Linked DNA regions of Lytechinus pictus. The main gene of each other region encodes a partner of the protein of the gene in region 2 in a complex. Links are inferred from orthologs where the notes say so. Each region holds a gene or a part of one and is shown on either strand. Other genes may lie near its edges. The genes, in order: TP53-regulated inhibitor of apoptosis 1-like; PRELI domain-containing protein 1, mitochondrial-like.

Region 1 (9,222 bases), on a different chromosome or scaffold from region 2:
TCAAATACAAATGAAATTCAAAACTATTTAAGATCATCAAAATAGTTCCAATTGACCCGTTGCCATAGTACCGGCTCATTTTCCCCCAGAAAAGTACAAATTTTGATTTTAAGTTGTAGAATCAGTTTTTTGTTTCATTTTCCCTGCGTTTAGGGTGTGATAAACAGAGGAGTGATTTTTTTCTATATGTATAAATACAATCTCATTCCATTGCCATGGCAACCAAGTGATACCTAATTTGGTAAAATAAGAAATAACATGGTAAAAAAAGATAATGGCGGGAAATACAATAAAACCGACCTAATCTATATGCGTTGGGTTTTATTTATAACAAAAACTACAGTAAGTGTTCTGCATGAGTTTATTGGAATGATAGGAACTGATGTTGCCTTGACAATGCTTGAATGTAAAGATAGATATCAATATTTCAAATGGCCCGTTGCCATGGTAACAGCTTATTTTATTCAGAAAAGTATACATTTGATAAAAACATTATAGAATCTGATTTTCTTTCATTCTAGGGTGCTCAACATAATATGCTTGATAATGTAAAAATACCACCTCGGGCCATTTTCAATGTATAGGCCTATAATCATATCGACATAATTATGTACTCAAATACTGGACAATTTTTTAAGAAAAATGGTTCTTAGTGCTATTCTGCATGAAATCCAGTAATGTAACTCCAAAATGACCGCAGTCATTCTGAGTAAAGTGATTTGGGTGTTTTGTGCTAAAAAGAGTTCAACATAAAGGGGGATATACACTTAATAAATGAAAATTTAAAACTATATCAGGAGGTGATGTAGTCTTGACCTCCTAATCAGAGATTATTGCCATTGAGGTAAAAATAACTTAGAATTCTTTTATTAAATGAATGGGTTTTTCATGAAAGTCCCACATTGAGTCTAAAAATGAAAGAATTTTACCTAATTATCCTCAAAAGGTCAATTATATCTAATAGGAGGGCAGGATTACGTCCATTCGCCAAATGAACTTTGGCGTTATATTATCTTGAACAGCTTTCTAAAAAAAAAAAAATACATGCATTTTAACATTTATAGCACTTCTTCATAAAATCGGACTCTATTTTTTTTTCAATTTATTCTGTTCTTGTCTAAAATGAGCCGTAACCAACCATGGCACCGGGCCATTTGCAACATTTATATTTATAAATACATTGTACAATGAAGCGTTGCCAAGGGAACATCAAATTGCATCTTTCTGATGAATCCATGCAGAATACTTACCGTAAGTTTTGACGCATGTAGATTAGGTCGTTTTTACATCACAGAATTAACTTTTTCTACATGTTATATTTTTACCAAATAAGTTGGTATTTGGTTGCCATGGCAATGGTCTGAGATGGTACTTACACATTTACCAACAATCAACCTAAGCTTATCAGAAATGAAAGGGAAAAATGCGACTTTACATGCCTTTATCATTTTACCTCAATGGTTCAAAGTAGAGCAACAAGACTATTTCCAGGATTTAGATAGAATCTTATAGTGTTAAACTGAATCTGTACTCCTTACCGCATAGAACGAGGGGACGTAGTCCAGGATAGGCCCCATAGACAAGGGGTCGAACCTTGTTTTTTTAGATATACAATGTTTTTTGATGGTTTCTTGTCAATTCGAGGGTGCTGATTCCGAATCTGAATGATGCCACTCTTGTAACCTTGAGCATTTTCCGCAAATTGGCAAAATCCAATATGGCCGCCAAAATATGCAAATTACCCATGAAAATCATAAAATTGCCAACACATTAGCTATAAAATGCATGTAGTTGTTGTGCAGAAGTGAAATACCAATTGGAAAAGCGATATTTGACAAAATATTTATTTTATTGATATTCAAAATGGCCGCCATAACCCCTGTATACTTTATTACTTTAGCTCGAGCTAAAGCCGGGGTAATAATAGCAGCGCTTTGTATCCTCTGGCAAAAAGCGCTTAATAAATCCAACTATTATTATTATTATTATTATGTAGAATATGAATGGGGAAAATATTTTTTCAAACAAGAACACTATTATTGCATGTGATTGTGACCTGCGAGTGGACTACTGTCTGAAAACATGACTATTAACAAAACTATGTCATTTGTATACTATCTAATGTGATAAATGCTGTATTATGATATTCAAAATGGCTGTCATTATAGACCCCTTATACTGTGTACAATATATAAAAGGGGACAAATAATTTTCACAACCTTTGAATTTGTTTGACTTTAAAATGCCAATAACTGCGAAATATTGGTGTAACACTGTCTGACAACAAGGATTTCTAACGAAACATATCATTTCCCTTGCAATTTCGGTAATTATGCTGCATGTTGACATTCAAAATGGCTGCCATAGGCCCTATCTGTATTATGAACAAAGCGAATAAAGAAACTAATTTTTACAAGAGTAAAAACAATAAAATGAATGTAATTGTAATCTATACGAGTGAAATATTGTCTAAACACATGATTTCTGGCGAAACATATCATTTAATTTTTCATGCATGAGATAAATGCTGTATTGTAAAATTCAAAATGGCCCCTATGGGCCCTTACAGTATTATCTACAATGTAAATGGGGACAAATACTTTTGAAAGAATTAGGATTTGCCTGACTATGAAATCCATATAATTCTGTTGTATAAGGAAAATATTGTTTGAAAACGTGATTTTTTTAATGAAATATAACATTTCCTCTCCCATAGGTGATAAATACTGTATTTTGACTTTCAAAACGGCCGCACAAGCCCCTACAAATTCTGTAACATGCGTATAGGGAAACTAATCATCACCAGAATGAGAACCAAAAACGCACGTAACTATGTGATGTATAGGTAAAATTTGGTCTTGAACATGATTTCTGACTAAATACATCACATAATGATTGAGAAGGTAATAAAGGCCTTACTTTGAAATTCAAAATTGCTGCCATAGCCCAAAGTAGTATGTACATTGTAACTGGGGACAGATAATTTTGACAAATTTTTTACTATGAAAATGGCTTAATTTTGATGTAAGTGTTAAGTATTGTCTAAACCCAATGATTTCTAACGAAATATATCATAGCTTGTGTCATAAAGGTGATGAATGCAGCCTTTTAAAAATGAAAAATGGCCGCCATAGTCCCTTATCTTAATATGTAAAATTTGAATGGGGAAAGATAATTTCCACAAAGAAACATATTGCAGCCATTTTGAAATTTAAATATAGCATTTATCACCTAAATAACATAAGAAATGATCTATTTGGTTACAAAATCATATTTTCAGACGATATTTCACTCATACATGCAACACCATTTAGTCAAGCAAAGCCAAATTCTGTTAAAATTATATGTTCCCATTCACAAAGTACATAATAGGCCTACTGTTATGGCCTGTAGCGGTCATTTTGACTTTCAAAATACATTATTTATCACCTACCTGGCAGAATGAATGATATATCTTGTTAGGAATTATGTTTTCAGACAATATTTTACTCTTAAATCACAATTATATGCATGTTATGGTGCTGACTCATGTGAAAATTGGTTTCCCAGATCGATTGTACATAATACAGTCAATGTCTTTTGGCGGCCATTTTGAAAGTCAAAATACAATATTTAACACAAATATGAAACCCGAATAATATATTTCGTTGCAAATTATATTTGAAGACAGTATTCCACTAATTTACCACAAAAAATACGTTTTAGTGCTCACCTTGTGATTGTTTTTGTCCTCTCTCACATCGTAGATCATAATTTTAGGGCCTTTGGCGGTCATATTAAATATCAAAATACAGGGTTTATCACATACATGGCATGTTAAATAATAAATTTCGTTAACAAAAATGTTTTTAGTCAGTATTCCACTCGTTTATCTCAACAAAATGCATTTTAGTGCTCACTCTTGTGATTTTTTTGTGTCACCATTCACATTGTACATAATAGTGTTAGGGCTTTTGAAGGCCATTTTGAATATCAAAATACAGGATTTATCACATAACTGACATAACAAATGATATATATCGTTAGCAATCATGTTTACAGACATTGCTTCACTCATAGATCATAATTACTTGCATTTCAGTGCTCAATTTTGTAAAAATTAATTTTCCCCATTCATATTGTACAGGGGTCTATGATGGCGGCCATTTTGATATCAAGAAAATAAATATTTTGACAAAAATCATTTTTTCAGATATTATTTCACTCTGGCAGCACAATTGCATGTACTTTAAAGCCAATGTGTGGACAATTTTATGATTTTCATGGGTAATTTGAATATTTTGGCGGCCATATTGGATTTTGCCAATTTGCAGAAAATGCTCAAGGTTACACGAGTGGCATCATTCAGATTCGGAATCAGCACCCTCGAATTGACAAGAAACCATAAAAAAACATTGTATATATAAAAAAACAAGGTTCGACCCCTTCTATCCTGGACTAACGTGATAGAAGTATTTAAATATTGTATGGTAGAGTCGATTCAGAATCCCTCTTCAAGAGATCCCAATACCAGGGAACAAGAGGTCATCCCTTCAAACTGTTCACTACTCACTGTCGGTTGAACACCCGCAGCATTTTTTTGTCAGTAAAAGAGTGGTCCAATCTTGGAATAGTTTGCCTGCAACACTAGTAATGTCCTCCAGCATCGACTCATTTAAACACGTATACCCAGTTGTTGTGTGTCCGGACAGGTTGTGTGTCCGGACGATCAATTTTAGAAAGTCATTTGGAAAAAATTACAAGCGAAGTTTCATCAAATTTTAGTAAAAAATTTTAGAAAATATTATAGAGAACAAAATAGAAGATGATTACAACTATTGAATTCATATTTTTAGTGTAATCTTATGACAAAAAAGAAGGCTTCAAAAATATAAAGTGTCCGGACACCCGATCCCCCATCCTACGGACGGATTAGATTGTCTGACATCCACCCCGCACTGTACTTGTTAGACTTTAATTATACATCAAGTGTACGTGTTTACGACCGGGAGATAGATCTACAGGCCCGCTCTACAGGACTACCTACACTCCCGTACAGATGATGATGATGATGATAGACTCATTGGACTCTTTTAAATCCAAAATTACTCAAAAACCTAGTAAGTAAGTGACCTGCTAACTTGGTGATCTCACACTCATCATCAATAAAGTTGGCGGAGTACAGCAAGTCTGCATATGCCATAGAGATGTATACTAATTATATGGCATATGCCCAGACAAGACAAGATGATCTGCTTTCATTTATCAATTCAAATTTATTTGTAATTTGATTCGTTGATTGTACCATACTCCGGTAAGGACTTTCGGTAGCTATCAAGGGAGAAATCGTCGAATTCTGAGACTGCGGAGGCTCATGTGTAACATCAAACCTCCTGAAATCGTAGCCATAGGTAAGTCATACAAAAATCGACATCTTTTTAAATAATTTGCCAGAGGTTACTAAGCCATGGCCCATGGCATGCATGGCCAGCTTGATCACGTTTACACACTACAGTCCCATTCGCTTAATATTGTGTTTCTGTTCTTTGTTCTCCCACTCCCAGCCAGGCAGTGACCGATGACCAGGCATAGTTAGTATGGTAGTACGGTACTAGTAGATCGTATTACCGTCACCGAACACTTTTCATGAATTTAATCATATCAAACACATTATTCTCATAAAATTCACCAAACTTTCTACATAAATACACAATTACCTACAAGATATAAATATGTAAAAATTTTGCCGAAATTGTTTAGGCCTATCCCTTTTACGATATTACTTAGCTTCCAATCGGACCCCTCTTCGGATGTGAAATATTTTGGTCACTTGAAAAAGGTATCGTATTACCGAACGTGTGTTTTCTATGGGAAAAGTTGAGAAAACAACAAAATCACCGATGAGCCATTTTGACCATATTTTTTTATTATTTTTAGAATATTAAGACTTTGAAAATGTGTTTTTGACCATTTTTCATCATCTTTTTATTCAATTATTGAACTTTGAAGTTCCCCTTGGAAGGATGTTGCAAAGTTTTAGTCTCATGAAATTATTTTCTGACGCGTACGATGCGCGCGTTCGGTAATACAATGCCGGTCGGTAATACAATCACTCACTATACACGTAGCCAGGCGGCTTCTTGAGAGTAAAAATCATTTACTAACGTATGCTTACTCTCAATGAAGCCAGGGATTCCTTCCTATTCATCTGCGTGTACCGCCAAAAAACCTGATACTTTCGCCCCTGAGATTTCTACTTTCCTTCTAAAACATCTAGCCATAACTTTAAGCCAGGCATAAATCATGCCCTGTACATCACTTAGGCCTACATGAGATAAAACTTCATTTCCGACATTTCTACGCTCTCGGTTTTATTTTTAAACAAGAATTCATTAAAAAAATGAGAAAAATATTGTGAAAAGACGGAAGAGACTTGCCCGATGTTTACGCCGCCATCTTGTTTCCTATTGTACTTCCCCAACGTTACGGACACGTGCGTCGCTAAAAATGAGCTTGCGCTAGTGATGTTTTTTATTTGATCGAATGGAGTAGAGTGCGGTCACGATGTTTGGATTGTCATGATTATAGCTAAGTGGGGTTGAGATCGTGTTTTGTGGCTAGAAAGTATTTGTATTTTGTTGAGATTTTGGAGTAACTGTTCCCTGCAGTTTGAGGAAAAATATGTTTTCCTTGATTTTCCGTTTGAAAAGCCACTTTCTAAAGGCCGTTTCTGTGAATTCCATGAAATCGCGGAAAATCACTGTGTCCCTACATAATAGCGGGAATAAGCGGGTATTATCGACAACGAGAGAAAGGTTATTGATATCGCTAAGTGGCAAAAAACAAGCGATTATCGACAGGACTAGCGATAAAGACGTTATCGATAACAGGATTAACAGCCCTATTGAAAACTACATTTAGTGTTTAAAGGGGAATTCCACCCAGACAAAAAGTTGATTTGAATAAAAAGAGAAAATATTCAAATGAACACTGAAAATTCAATTAAAATTGGATGTGAAATAATTTTTTTTAATTTAAGTTTTGCTTATTCCCAAAACAGTTATCTGCACAACTCATTGATTTGAAAATGAGAGAATAACATTTATTATTTCTTTTTTTATTTGTTGTTTGAAGTATGAAATATTATTATCTCATGATTATCAAGTTTTATTTCTTTCCAAACAATCATGAAGAGGGTCCTTATTGTCAAACCTGTAAAAATTGAAATATATAAGTTAGACAATAAAAAAAACACTTGTGTGACATAATCAGTCCTCTCTTTTGCCTATCACTGAGTTGTGCATACAATTATATAACTCTTTTTTGTGAAAAAAATAAGTGAAACTTGAAATGTCATAACTTTCTTAATTCACATCTGATTTGATGGAATTGTCAGCATTGTGCTCTATTGATTGGAATCAATATTTTCTGAGGTGGACTTGTCATTTGATTTTGTTATAATTTCAGAATATTTGTAGCCACCCTATAGTTTCCTTATATATCAAATCATTAAATTTGAAAGTTACAGTGTTTAAAGTTTTCTTTTGAAAGAAAAATAAATGTAGTACTGAGAGAGGGTGCTAAAAGATCAACTGCTGAAGTGAAAAATAGGTCCCAGTGGACCCTATGCTATTTTGTAATGTTGGAATGTTAAATGTTACTTGAGTATCATACTGGGCCTTACCAAAGATTTAGATGGCCTTTGATATACATGTTTTAATGTCTTTTACTTTGAAGCACTTGACCCGAAACAAAAACATCTCTAAAGAATAGTGAGATGAAAAAATAATTTATTCAAGGCCCTCGCCCACTGGGGTTCTGATATCTGGCCAACATAGCACCACACATTGTGCATTTAATGGGTCTAGACAGTGGTGACAATGTCTATTATGATGTCACAATTTGAATAGTATTTTCTTTGACCATACAGCCATTTTCTTTGGGGGGGGGAGGGGGTGACCAACCAAGGCATAAAATAATGCTATGTAATGTACACTGTATATATTGTTTATCTCCTTCAGACAATCTAAAAAATGAATAGCCTGAGTCCTGACTGTACAGAATTAAAACATGCATATGATGCATGCTTCAACAATTGGTTCAGTGAAAAGTTCCTGAAAGGAGACTCAAAAGATGCATGTGGGGATCTTTTCAGGAAATATCAGGAGTGTGTCAAGGTCGGTATAGTGTACATTTAATTAAAATCAATGTTATTTCTTTGATGACATTTCTGGATATCAGTATTTATTTATTTACTCTTTGTTGTTGTGTCATTAATAGTAATACAGCCTTAATTTTCAATATTTGTATGGCACAGTGAATTTTCAGATGGGAAAATTTACAAGCAGTGTTATTTTGTGTAGAAGATGTAATATTCTAGTCTTTCTACTTCTATGATTTACTTACTTTTGCATCTAGTGGCATCCCTGCCCCTTAATTTGTTGCAAAAATAATCACCTACAATATCGTTATAATTATGTTTGTTATAGGTCTACTGATCGACAATCAGCTCATATTATTGTAGAGAATTCTCCAAGCAATTTGTGGTTAACTTACTGGCCCGTATTCTGAAGTCAGGTTAACTCTGTGCCAAAAGTGTCAAATTTTTTATTAAGTTGTATATTTCTTATGTTTACTGTGCTCTTTCCTGATTCATCGATGGTGAAGACAATCATCTTTTTATACTTCCTAGACAATTATGAATGACTTGAGAGGCAAAAGAGCTGAAATATGATATCTCTACTGTTAGTAATTTATGTAACAATTGGCTATCCATACTTAAACCACAACTTTAAACCTGGCAGTCAGTCCGCAAGCCCCTGTGTTAATGAGCAAATGAGCAAGATTTATCCAAGTCCTCTCGTGGCTGAATTCATGTCCCTGCAAAATCTCGTGAATCGTGAGACTTTCTTTCTCAAAGAATTTAACCACTTTCTCCTTGAGTAATATTGATTATTTTTGTACCATGGGCAAGAGTAAATGTTACTCTTTTATATTGGTCATTTCTTTTGAATTAGATATTTTGATAAATAAGTGAATTTTTTACCTGAAAAGATGCATCAAACAGAATTTTCTTCCTCTGTTTTCACTTGCAAATTGTGCAACATTTTGTGTTTTAGGCACCAACATTATTTATATCATCAGAAAGCTCGAACTCTATACTTTCTTACAATGTCACTCTTGATATGTGGCATCTTTTAGATGGGTCAGCAGCCAGCTTTTTCCATCAAGATGCAAGACGAG
Region 2 (9,297 bases):
AAAGCATTATTACAGACAACATTGAAACTATATGAGAAAAAAAGTCACGAACATCACGGAAAATATCACTACCTTTAATGGAAGTTATATTTCTTTTTACAGAAATAAAAGCCTTGAAGTGGTTGATATTCATAGTTTTGTTTTTTTGATCAACAACTATCTTTATGTATTTTAGTGGTCGACTGGTCTCTACAGAAAAAATCATGGCTGGTCACAACTCAAAAAAAAAGAAAGAGAAAAAAAAACACAATTACCCTCCTCTAGTTTAGACATATTTTCCATGAAACAAGACCCTTTCTGAGAATGACCCTAATTTATTAACCAATGCTACATATACAGGAAAAAAAATCAACATCAGTTATATAATTTTATATCTAGCTGCAGAATAAGCAGCTGACCAGTACCACCTATTTGTCCAATTATTACTTTACCAATACAAGTGTTATGTCTCCAAGACCCCAGATAAATTGTGAATTTAATTTTCTTCATGTATTTGTTTTGTATCTGAAAACAATCGGTGAGCAAACCAATCAGCACATGGTGCCAGCATGGGTAATTATTCAAGTTTATCCATGTTTTGAATTTTGAAAGGTTAGGGTTGCTCTTAGTGGTAATCATCAATGACCCGTATTCTGAACTCTGCTTTAACTTCAACCAGTTGGTTGCGGTTTACTATGAAAAGCCCAAAGTGGTATCAATCTCTAGAATTAGGTGATCATCACATTATTACGCATTCAAATCATTGACAAATTCTTGAAATGATAAATGAAATAGTTTCCTTCCCCATTAAACCAATAAGGACCCCAGTAAACACAAGAAGCATTACAGTGTAAACAAATTCTTGGCACTTGTGGCTTTCCATAAGTTTAGCCCAGACTAAGACCATGGCCTAAGTTGGACCTGATTTTAGAATACAGGCCAATGTATTTACCTGTATGGTCCAGGGTATTTTTGCCAGAAAGCTGAGGAGACTTGGTCCCATGAGTGTTTGAAGGTAGTAGCAGCAGTGAAGTGCTTCATTTCTCTGGACCCGAGTGAAGGAGGATCACAGGCTTTCTTGAAAATACAAGTTGTTCAGAGGAGAGGCTGGTTGCGTCCACACTCCACAGCATATGCGTCAGAATTCCCTTCAGCCTTGAGGACTTTTTTTTCATCACAATTCTATAGATGAATCAGAAGAATCATGAAAAAGCAATGTACTACATCTCAGTATATCCCCCGGGGGGGGGGGGGGGGGGGGAGGGGGACATTTCCACTGACGAGTGGATACCACACATGACCATGGTGTTTCAAAATGCACCCTAAACACGTATTTTCCATGTTCTGAAAATGCACCCCTTAACTCTTTGTGCGCTGGACCATGAACCCATCTGTACTGAATTATTTTCAGGGAGGGAAATAATGCTTTGTTTGTTGAGTGTGAAATGTGAAGTTCGCACGGCACCGAGTGTGCATTGGTGCGAAGTACGCGTGGAAAGGGTTAACAAGTATTGGCATGTGAAACCCTACCCTTAACAGGTTTTGGAAACAAAACGGTACCCTTGACAAGTATTCCCTTACTTTGACCCCCTAAACAAGTACAGCTATAGTTTAACAGCCCCAGCATTAGCAGCAATCCTTTTTCTAGTACATGCACATTTGAGTTACAATTACATCAGAAAAGCAAACAAACAAACAGCTTATGTGCAAGTTTCCCCGGGAACACCCCATCTCCAATAGGACCCTTAACACGTAGTGTTGGTGCAAAAAGTACATCTTTTATAAAAGCATTTTAGTCTTTTTATACCCTCGCAAATTGGACTGTAAACACGTAGCTTTCCTTGCGAAATATATACTTTTCATTAATATTTAAGCATTTTTGACACCCTTACATGTATTACGTTATGTACGTAACATGCCTTATCTTGAAAAAGGGATCCTTTTTAGGTGTTTCTTTGGTCACAGGTGGTATACACCCGTCAATGGAAGTGGCCCCCCCCCCTGGGATTTTGCCTTATATTCCATGAACATGGAATGTTGCTGTCTGAGGGGGGACATACGTGTCATGTGACCAATTGAAAAGTAGTGTATCAAACAAAAAGTGGTGATCTACTTCTACATTTCGCTAACCTCTAATGTTAACAGCCCTGATGAATAAGAGTCATAATGGATGTGGAGTAACTAAGAGTCACACAGCCATTCCAGTGTGAATCGCGTGACATTCACACAAAATTTCAACTTCTCAAGATCAACTTGTTTCTATTCATTTCAATTAAAGTATTAATACACATTGTCCAACAAAAATTTTGAATTTACAGTGTTTTTGTAGGAGATATTTCAATTTGTTTGTTGTGATTCGCGTGACGCGACACTATTGTAGATTCCTGACATTACTGTATATTTGTCTGTAATTTCCTTAGAGGATACTCGGCAGATTTTGATAAAAGTTTCTGAAGAGTATTTTGAAACATCTGGAAATTCTCATGTTAAAAATTAATTGATGCCTGACTTGTTTTGAGTTGATTGCCATTTGAAAATGTGACACACATGTCAAGTATCGTTTTGGACTACAAATTGACCAAATTATCATGATTTTATACAGTAAAATGGGCCAAATTTCATGCAAACAGAACATTTATGGTAATTTGCATCCCCTTTATCTTTAAAACAAAGAAATTTTAAAGTCACACTCTGATATATCGTCGCCTGAGAAGCATAGTGCTTTGACTAAAAAATGTTGTCCCCTGTTTTTTTGTTTTTACATATCACCTTTTAAAAGTTTCCTTTCGTTTCATGAATTCAAATATCTATCAAGATATCCATCAGAAACATAATTGACATTAACTCTTTTTCGCACAATTCCCGAGAAGCAGTTGGCATTAACTTGTATAGTGTTTGTGCGCATATTGTACGCTAGTACATGTAGATGCTTCGCTATGCACACTTGACATCATAATAAAGGAACATGCAATTACGACTAATCAGCTATACATGTAGGTATCAGCTGATTTTTCACTGTATGTTTTGCAATCTAACTGCAGATCCGATTTGTAGCTAATTATTAGCTGAAAATAATCTACAGAACAATGTTTTTTAATATAATTTTTGAACACTTTACTCTTATATCAAGTGCTGCAAAGTATGATGAATATGACCTCGAATAAATGGTGGAGTGGTTTAGAACATTTCCTCACATAGATAAAATGCCGAATTCTTTTGAATGCGCAATAAAAATATAGAGACGTTTCAATTGGGTAGAGTTAAAAGCTCGATAGCAAAAAAATCAAGCTCAAGATGAACCCATTTCAATTTTTTGCAAATACATGTATCCTAAGAGTAAGACTGGTGCGCATGCTAACGTTATACAATTTACAAATAATGCATGCAGCCGAGGGCGTTAGTGGAAATGCAGAGCACGCAAGGTTTCTTTAGATAGGTGCCGCACTGTGCACGAGCAGCTGGCGGCGAGTGCCCAGTGTGCACCATCTGAAGAAACCGAGCTTTCTCTGCATTTACTTATTACGCACGACAGAGCAAGTGCATTATTTGTTTTATAAAATAGCAACACAGAAACAAATCCTTAAAAAGTCACAGTACAGTACTGCAGTGGTCTGCTTGAGCGTGCAATGTCAATTTTCGTTGCGCACCTTTTGCACTGCCGTGCATTGCACACAAAAAGTTGGATGTTATGTGACGCGTATTAGCCAATCGCGATGCTTGAATTTGAAATAATAGTAATACACCTATTTTATAAAACCAATCAATGCAATGGTAACTCTGTGCAAAACTTGGTGAAAATTACATACATTTTGATTATATTATTATTGTGGAATACCTTAGCAGTTCCCGCATGACCCAAATTTCAATGCACACACACATAAAAAAAACTGAGAAATTGTTGATTGAGTTAGATTGGTCTTTTCTACTTTTGTGATCATTTTAAAAATCAATCAATGACAATGCACATGCACAAATTATGTTATACCCACTCATCCTACGAACAAGGTTATATGGCCAATATATAAATTATATAACATATAAATATGATGAAATACATGTATCACGGAGTCCTTTACTTAGCCTTAACGACGTTAGGCTAGGCCCACTCACACAACATGCGAGGATAGGATTATTAGGAAGCATCGACAGACAAGTACCGGTAGTACCATACTCACATTTCAGCATCTGGGACTACACAACAATTACTGCACTCTTCACGTGCCAAAATATCATCATCATGTAGGGAAAGCAGAATAGAAAATATTTCATCAAATAACAGACTACTTGATTATTCAAATATAATAATGAAACTTACGGCAAACTTACTTCTCATTTCTAAAAGGCAACTTTGTTCCATTAAATAGACAAAATGGGATGGGAGCGACGACGCGACGAATCTTGCATGGAACCAGTGACGTCATAAAAGTAGCTAAATTTTGCACGTACGATTATTTTTGCATTGATACTAATTTTTTTTAAACGGTTTTTAGTAATAGTTGTATAGTCTGCAAAAAGAGGAAGAAGAGAAGGAGAAGAAGATGATCGGAGAAGACGAAGAAGATCGAAGAAGAAGAAGAAGATCGAAGAAGAAGAAGAATTAGAAGAAGAATTAAGAAGAAGAAGAAGAATTAAGAAGAAGAAGAAGACGGAGGAGGATGATCGAGGAAGAGGAGGAGGAGGAGGAGGAGGAGGAGAAGAAGAAGAATTCAGAAGAAGAAGAAGAAAGAGGAAGAGCGAAGGATCGAGACGAAGAAAAGAGACGAAGGAGAAGATGAAGAGGAAAAAAAGAAAAAAAAAAGGAGGATTAAGAGGCCGGATCTAGAAGAAGAAAGCTCGTCATATACTCATTGCATAAATTTATTGATAAAGTAAAATATCAATATGATATTTATCCGATTTTGGGAAATATTTCATCATGTTGATGAAATCACTCGATCTACATGTATATCACTGTCAGCATACAGAGTGGGCTTATACGCATAGGGGTGAATCCAGCATTGTAATAATAATAAATAATACATGAGATTTATATAGCGCACTTTCCATCTTGATTAGATGCTCAAGGCGCTTCAGAGCAGAACAACAAAATTATTTACATATAATACATGTCTGAACAATAAGTCAATATCTATCAAAAAACACTCTTATACATGGTATGTTTTCAGGTTGCCCTTGAAGGTGGTCACTAGCTGTAGATGGGGGTGGGGGGGGGGGGGAGGAGGGTGCATGGGGGTTTCCATATGCCGGTGTCTTATACATAGTAGTCTGTCAGCCTAAACTTTTTTTATCCCCCTGAAACTTGTTCCTGGAGCAATGTCCCCCTCCCCCTATAAATGGCTCGTTTGAATCCTCAGATTAAGGTAGGGCCTATACCCGGGGAAATACGCTTAAAGTACGTGTGCTTGAAACTTGACGGGTGGGGGGGGGGGGGGGGGGGGGCCGGGGGACCTTATTCAGTCTGAATCGCCTATGAAACCTTTTGTAGGCCTATCCTGTGAAAGTGCCCGGGATAATATAGTACGCTTTACGCGTGCTCACATAGGGAAACCCGTTTGTCATGTTAACAAAAAAAGAAAAAAAAAACTTGAAACAAAAATCTGTGCCCAGGGCGCAGTGCATGACTATCCTACCTCTAGTTCCCCCCTCTAAAGTAAAGGAGATAATACATGGGCGTCAGATATCTTTACAGTTCTCTTTTGTTGTTGTTGTTGATATTTTGCGGGTGGGGGTGTTATCAAAAGTTCGCTTAAGGACGTTCCACAGTTAAAGTGAAATCCATGTCATTTTCACCAAACTTTGCACATAGATACTTTAGAACCTTAATATTCGAAATATGCAAAAATTAACATAGGTCCATGTGCTTGATTTTTTGCTATAGAGCTTCAAAGTTCACCCAAATTGATGTTCTTAAGAATTGCGCATTCAAAAGAATTTGGCATTTTTAGACCGCCCAAGATTACTACAATGAGTTTAAACCTCTATTACTCAGTCAAAATACATGAAAAAGTCATCAAATTTCGCAAAAGAGTTAATAATTGTATCGTTCGAAAGGAGAATCTAGTTAAAGTGCTATTTGTTTTCAATTTTAAGTTTAACAGCGCTGGCAGTTCTTAAAAAAAGGCGGAAACTATAACAAAACCCCAATCTAAAAAATGTAAAATTTTAGTAACAAACTACAAACGTACAATAAATGCTGCACTTTATTCAAAATCCATGTCATTTTCACCAAAATTTGCAGAGTTGTAGAGGAAGGTATACCTAACAGGTACAAACTTTAAAAAATAGGGGTCCATGTGCTTGTTTTTAAACTATTAGCATTTTTATTAGAGCAAATGTGCTTTTTAAAACACCAAAAATGCGCCGAATGCTTTGTATCTATGTGAAGAAAAAATCAAAACCACTCTACCATTTATTCAAACTCGGGGTAATATTCCTGATTCTTGGCAGCAATGCAGAGTAAAGTATTTTGAAATTGTAGAAATTTTTTTTTAATGGTCCATGGAATAATTCCATTTTTAGCTTCATGAAATAACGCATCGGATCTGCAGTTAAAGTGCAGAATATGAGAAAAATCAGCTCATACCCGCAGCTAATCAATCACCTGTTCATCCATTGTGACGTCAGCGCGCAGAGTGTAAACTATGCGCAGATCATAATGCGCACAAACATAACTGTGGAACGTCCTTAATTGCTAAACTTTGATTTCGTAATCAAAATATATAACTGCAGATCTGTTGAGATCTTTTTAGGCTAATTATGTTTGCATATTCCTTGAAGACTGTGATTTGGTTTTTCTTCATTAGTTAGAGATCATGTTCTTCAGTCGCCTGTACCATGGACCTACTACAGGTCCATGCCTATACTGATGGGGGTGATTACAGGCGTATATATATATATAATGTATACATATGTATGTATATATAATTATATATATATATATAAGCATCTTGGTTTTCCACGTATTGGCAATAATAATAATAAGACATCAGAAATGCGAAACAAATTCACGAGTAATGCAGTTTTTGAAGTGCCAACAATTAAGTTCTTTTATTCACTCTCCAAATTTTCGGTAGACATCTACCTTCTTCAGGGAAGAATTCACGAATCTTCCCTGAAGAAGGTAGATGTCTACCGAAAATTTGGAGAGTGAATAAAAGAACTTAATTGTTGGCACTTCAAAAACTGCATTACTCGTGAATTTGTTTCGCATTTCTGATGTATATATATTTCTGATATATATATATATATATATATATATATATATATATATATATATATATATTTACATATATATGTACATATAATATTGAGTTTTATTCAATAAAACGTACGTGCCCTTTGGACCACTGGTGTCAATTAACACAGATGAGACACACATACTCGTCCCTCCCAAAAAAAATGAAATAAATAGATTTAAAAAAAAAACCCAATAAATTAGGCGCATTAGGGTATGACCCCTATTTTTCTGGAAATCTCGATACATGCCCCACACGCGAGTTTAACATTCAAATAACATTCAACTAATAGGCAAACTCTTCACCAAAATCATTGTCATCGTACATACTTTCATTCATATCAATTCTTCATATTTATAAATGAGTAAATATATCAACACATAAAGCCAAATGATTACAATGTCAAATCAATTGGGGTTTACATTGACATTTATTTTTTAGGAAATAGTTTAAAAGACATAGATATGAAATGAATAATTTAGAAAATTATACTATACTATTGAGATAGAAATAATAATAATAACAATAGCTGGATTTATATAGCGCTTTGTGCCTGAGGATACAAAGTGCTTTATTCCGCACCCCGGCTTTAGCTCGAGCTACCATCACCGGTGCTCAGTGCATGCAAGGAATTAATCCTGCCGGGTACCCATTCACCTCATCTGGGTCGAGTGCAGCTGCAGTGTGGATAAATTTCTTGCTGAAGGAAAACACGCCATGGCTAGGATTCGAATGTCAGAACCACTAGACCTATAGACGCGCCTAGTCACACAATTAAGGACCGTCACCCCGAATATTGGCTAACAATTATATAGCGCAGTCACAATTTCCTCATGGCGGCCGTTTGGCGAGTCGAAAACAGCCGTTTTAACATTTTACAGGTGGTTTGAAAAAATAATGTTTTCGACTCGCCGTACGGCCGCCGTAGGGGAAATGTGACTGAGGTATATCTAGACACAAGGTGTCAAACTGTCGTAAGAAAGTTTTGGTTGTCCATAACTCCAGAAATTGTTTTAACAGTGGATTTGTCAAGAAGAATAGAAAATGTTGTTCTTTTAGATAAATTTAAAAGCTTCTATAAAATTCGTGTGACACAAAAGAAGGATTTTAAGAGAATTATTTTATTCATTTGGTTGTTCATAACTCGAGAGATTGTTTTAGCAGTGGCCTTTGTCAAATCCTCCTCTTATTTTAGATGAATTTGGAAGAAGCTTCTAGAAAATTTGAAATTGATATAAAAAGGCTAAGACATCCTTCTGGAATTTCAGAATTTAGGAGCCAAGAATTTATCTCCGTGCATAGTTTACCGTTATCATGTTTATGCATGTGGAATCAAGTATTATTTAGTTTCTGAGGAATTATTCTCATTTCTTAACCTAACTGTTAGCAACTATTTTTTAAGAGAGGCCGGAATTAACAGTACATGACCATCAACCTCTTTAGAACGTTTTTATCAACCAATGAGTTGCTGAAATCAACTGTTTATCATCAACTTAATCCTCAGGCATACATTTTAGTACTGTAACAGTTTAGCTCAGTACAGTGACTGTGATCACCCATCGCAATTCAACATCACTTTCATCATCGCCAGCATTGTGGACTACAATTGACGGAGTCTTTACCATCGCCATTTTGGATTAGTACGTAGGACTCTGATTTGGATCCTTTCTATGGACTAACTGTTTATACCTTTTACACTTCGTAATTCCGAAGGTTCGTAATTCCGAAACACGTAAATTGCCCATACCTCGATGTTCGTTAATCCGAAAACGTAAAAGGGTTCGTTAATCCGAACATTTGTGGCGTTATTCCGAAGGTTCGATAATCCGAAAACGAAATAAGGTTCGATGTTCCGAAGGTTCGTCAATCCGAAAACGAAATAAGGTTCGTTGTTCCGAAGGTTCGTTGATCCGAAAACGAAATAAGGTTCGTTGTTCCGAAGGTTCGTAAGTCCGAAAACGAAATAAGGTTCGTTAATCATTAGTTTTAGGATCAACGAACCTTCGGAATTACGAACCTCATTTCGTTTTCGGATTAACGAACCTTCGGAATTACGAACCTCACTTCGTTTTCGGACTAACGA

What was found.
Region 1: the proteins of PRELI domain-containing protein 1, mitochondrial-like (region 2) and TP53-regulated inhibitor of apoptosis 1-like are in contact, whole or in part, in a crystal structure (PDB 6I3V), measured with the Homo sapiens proteins. The link is inferred for Lytechinus pictus from reciprocal best matches to the Homo sapiens genes PRELID1 and TRIAP1. Residues at the interface, in NP_037369.1 of Homo sapiens: Trp15, Asp16, Phe19, Ala20, Trp23, Gln24, Tyr26, Pro27, Val34, Leu35, Thr36, Glu37, Asp38, Ile39, Val40, His41, Arg42, Val44, Gln48, Lys49, Leu50, Leu51, Ser52, Arg53, Leu55, Thr57, Tyr79, Leu81, Asp83, Ser84; in NP_057483.1 of Homo sapiens: Met1, Asn2, Ser3, Val4, Lys12, Tyr15, Asp16, Phe19, Asn20, Trp22, Phe23, Phe27, Leu28, Gly30, Asp31, Ser32, Phe41, Tyr44, Gln45, Val48, Gln49, Ile52, Ile57, Pro58, Ile59, Leu62, Glu63, Phe64, Met65, Gly66.

The regions. Positions count from the first base shown.
Region 1 is NC_087246.1:5,000,923-5,010,144, forward strand, and holds the start of TP53-regulated inhibitor of apoptosis 1-like, read left to right. Parts: upstream 1-5,299; 5' UTR 5,300-5,390; intron 5,391-8,000; 5' UTR 8,001-8,012; coding exon 8,013-8,156; intron 8,157-9,222. UniProt on the Homo sapiens protein: Involved in the modulation of the mitochondrial apoptotic pathway by ensuring the accumulation of cardiolipin (CL) in mitochondrial membranes.
Region 2 is NC_087256.1:24,311,910-24,321,206, reverse strand, and holds the start of PRELI domain-containing protein 1, mitochondrial-like, read right to left. Parts: upstream 4,407-9,297; 5' UTR 4,306-4,406; intron 1,162-4,305; 5' UTR 1,021-1,161; coding exon 932-1,020; intron 1-931. UniProt on the Homo sapiens protein: Involved in the modulation of the mitochondrial apoptotic pathway by ensuring the accumulation of cardiolipin (CL) in mitochondrial membranes.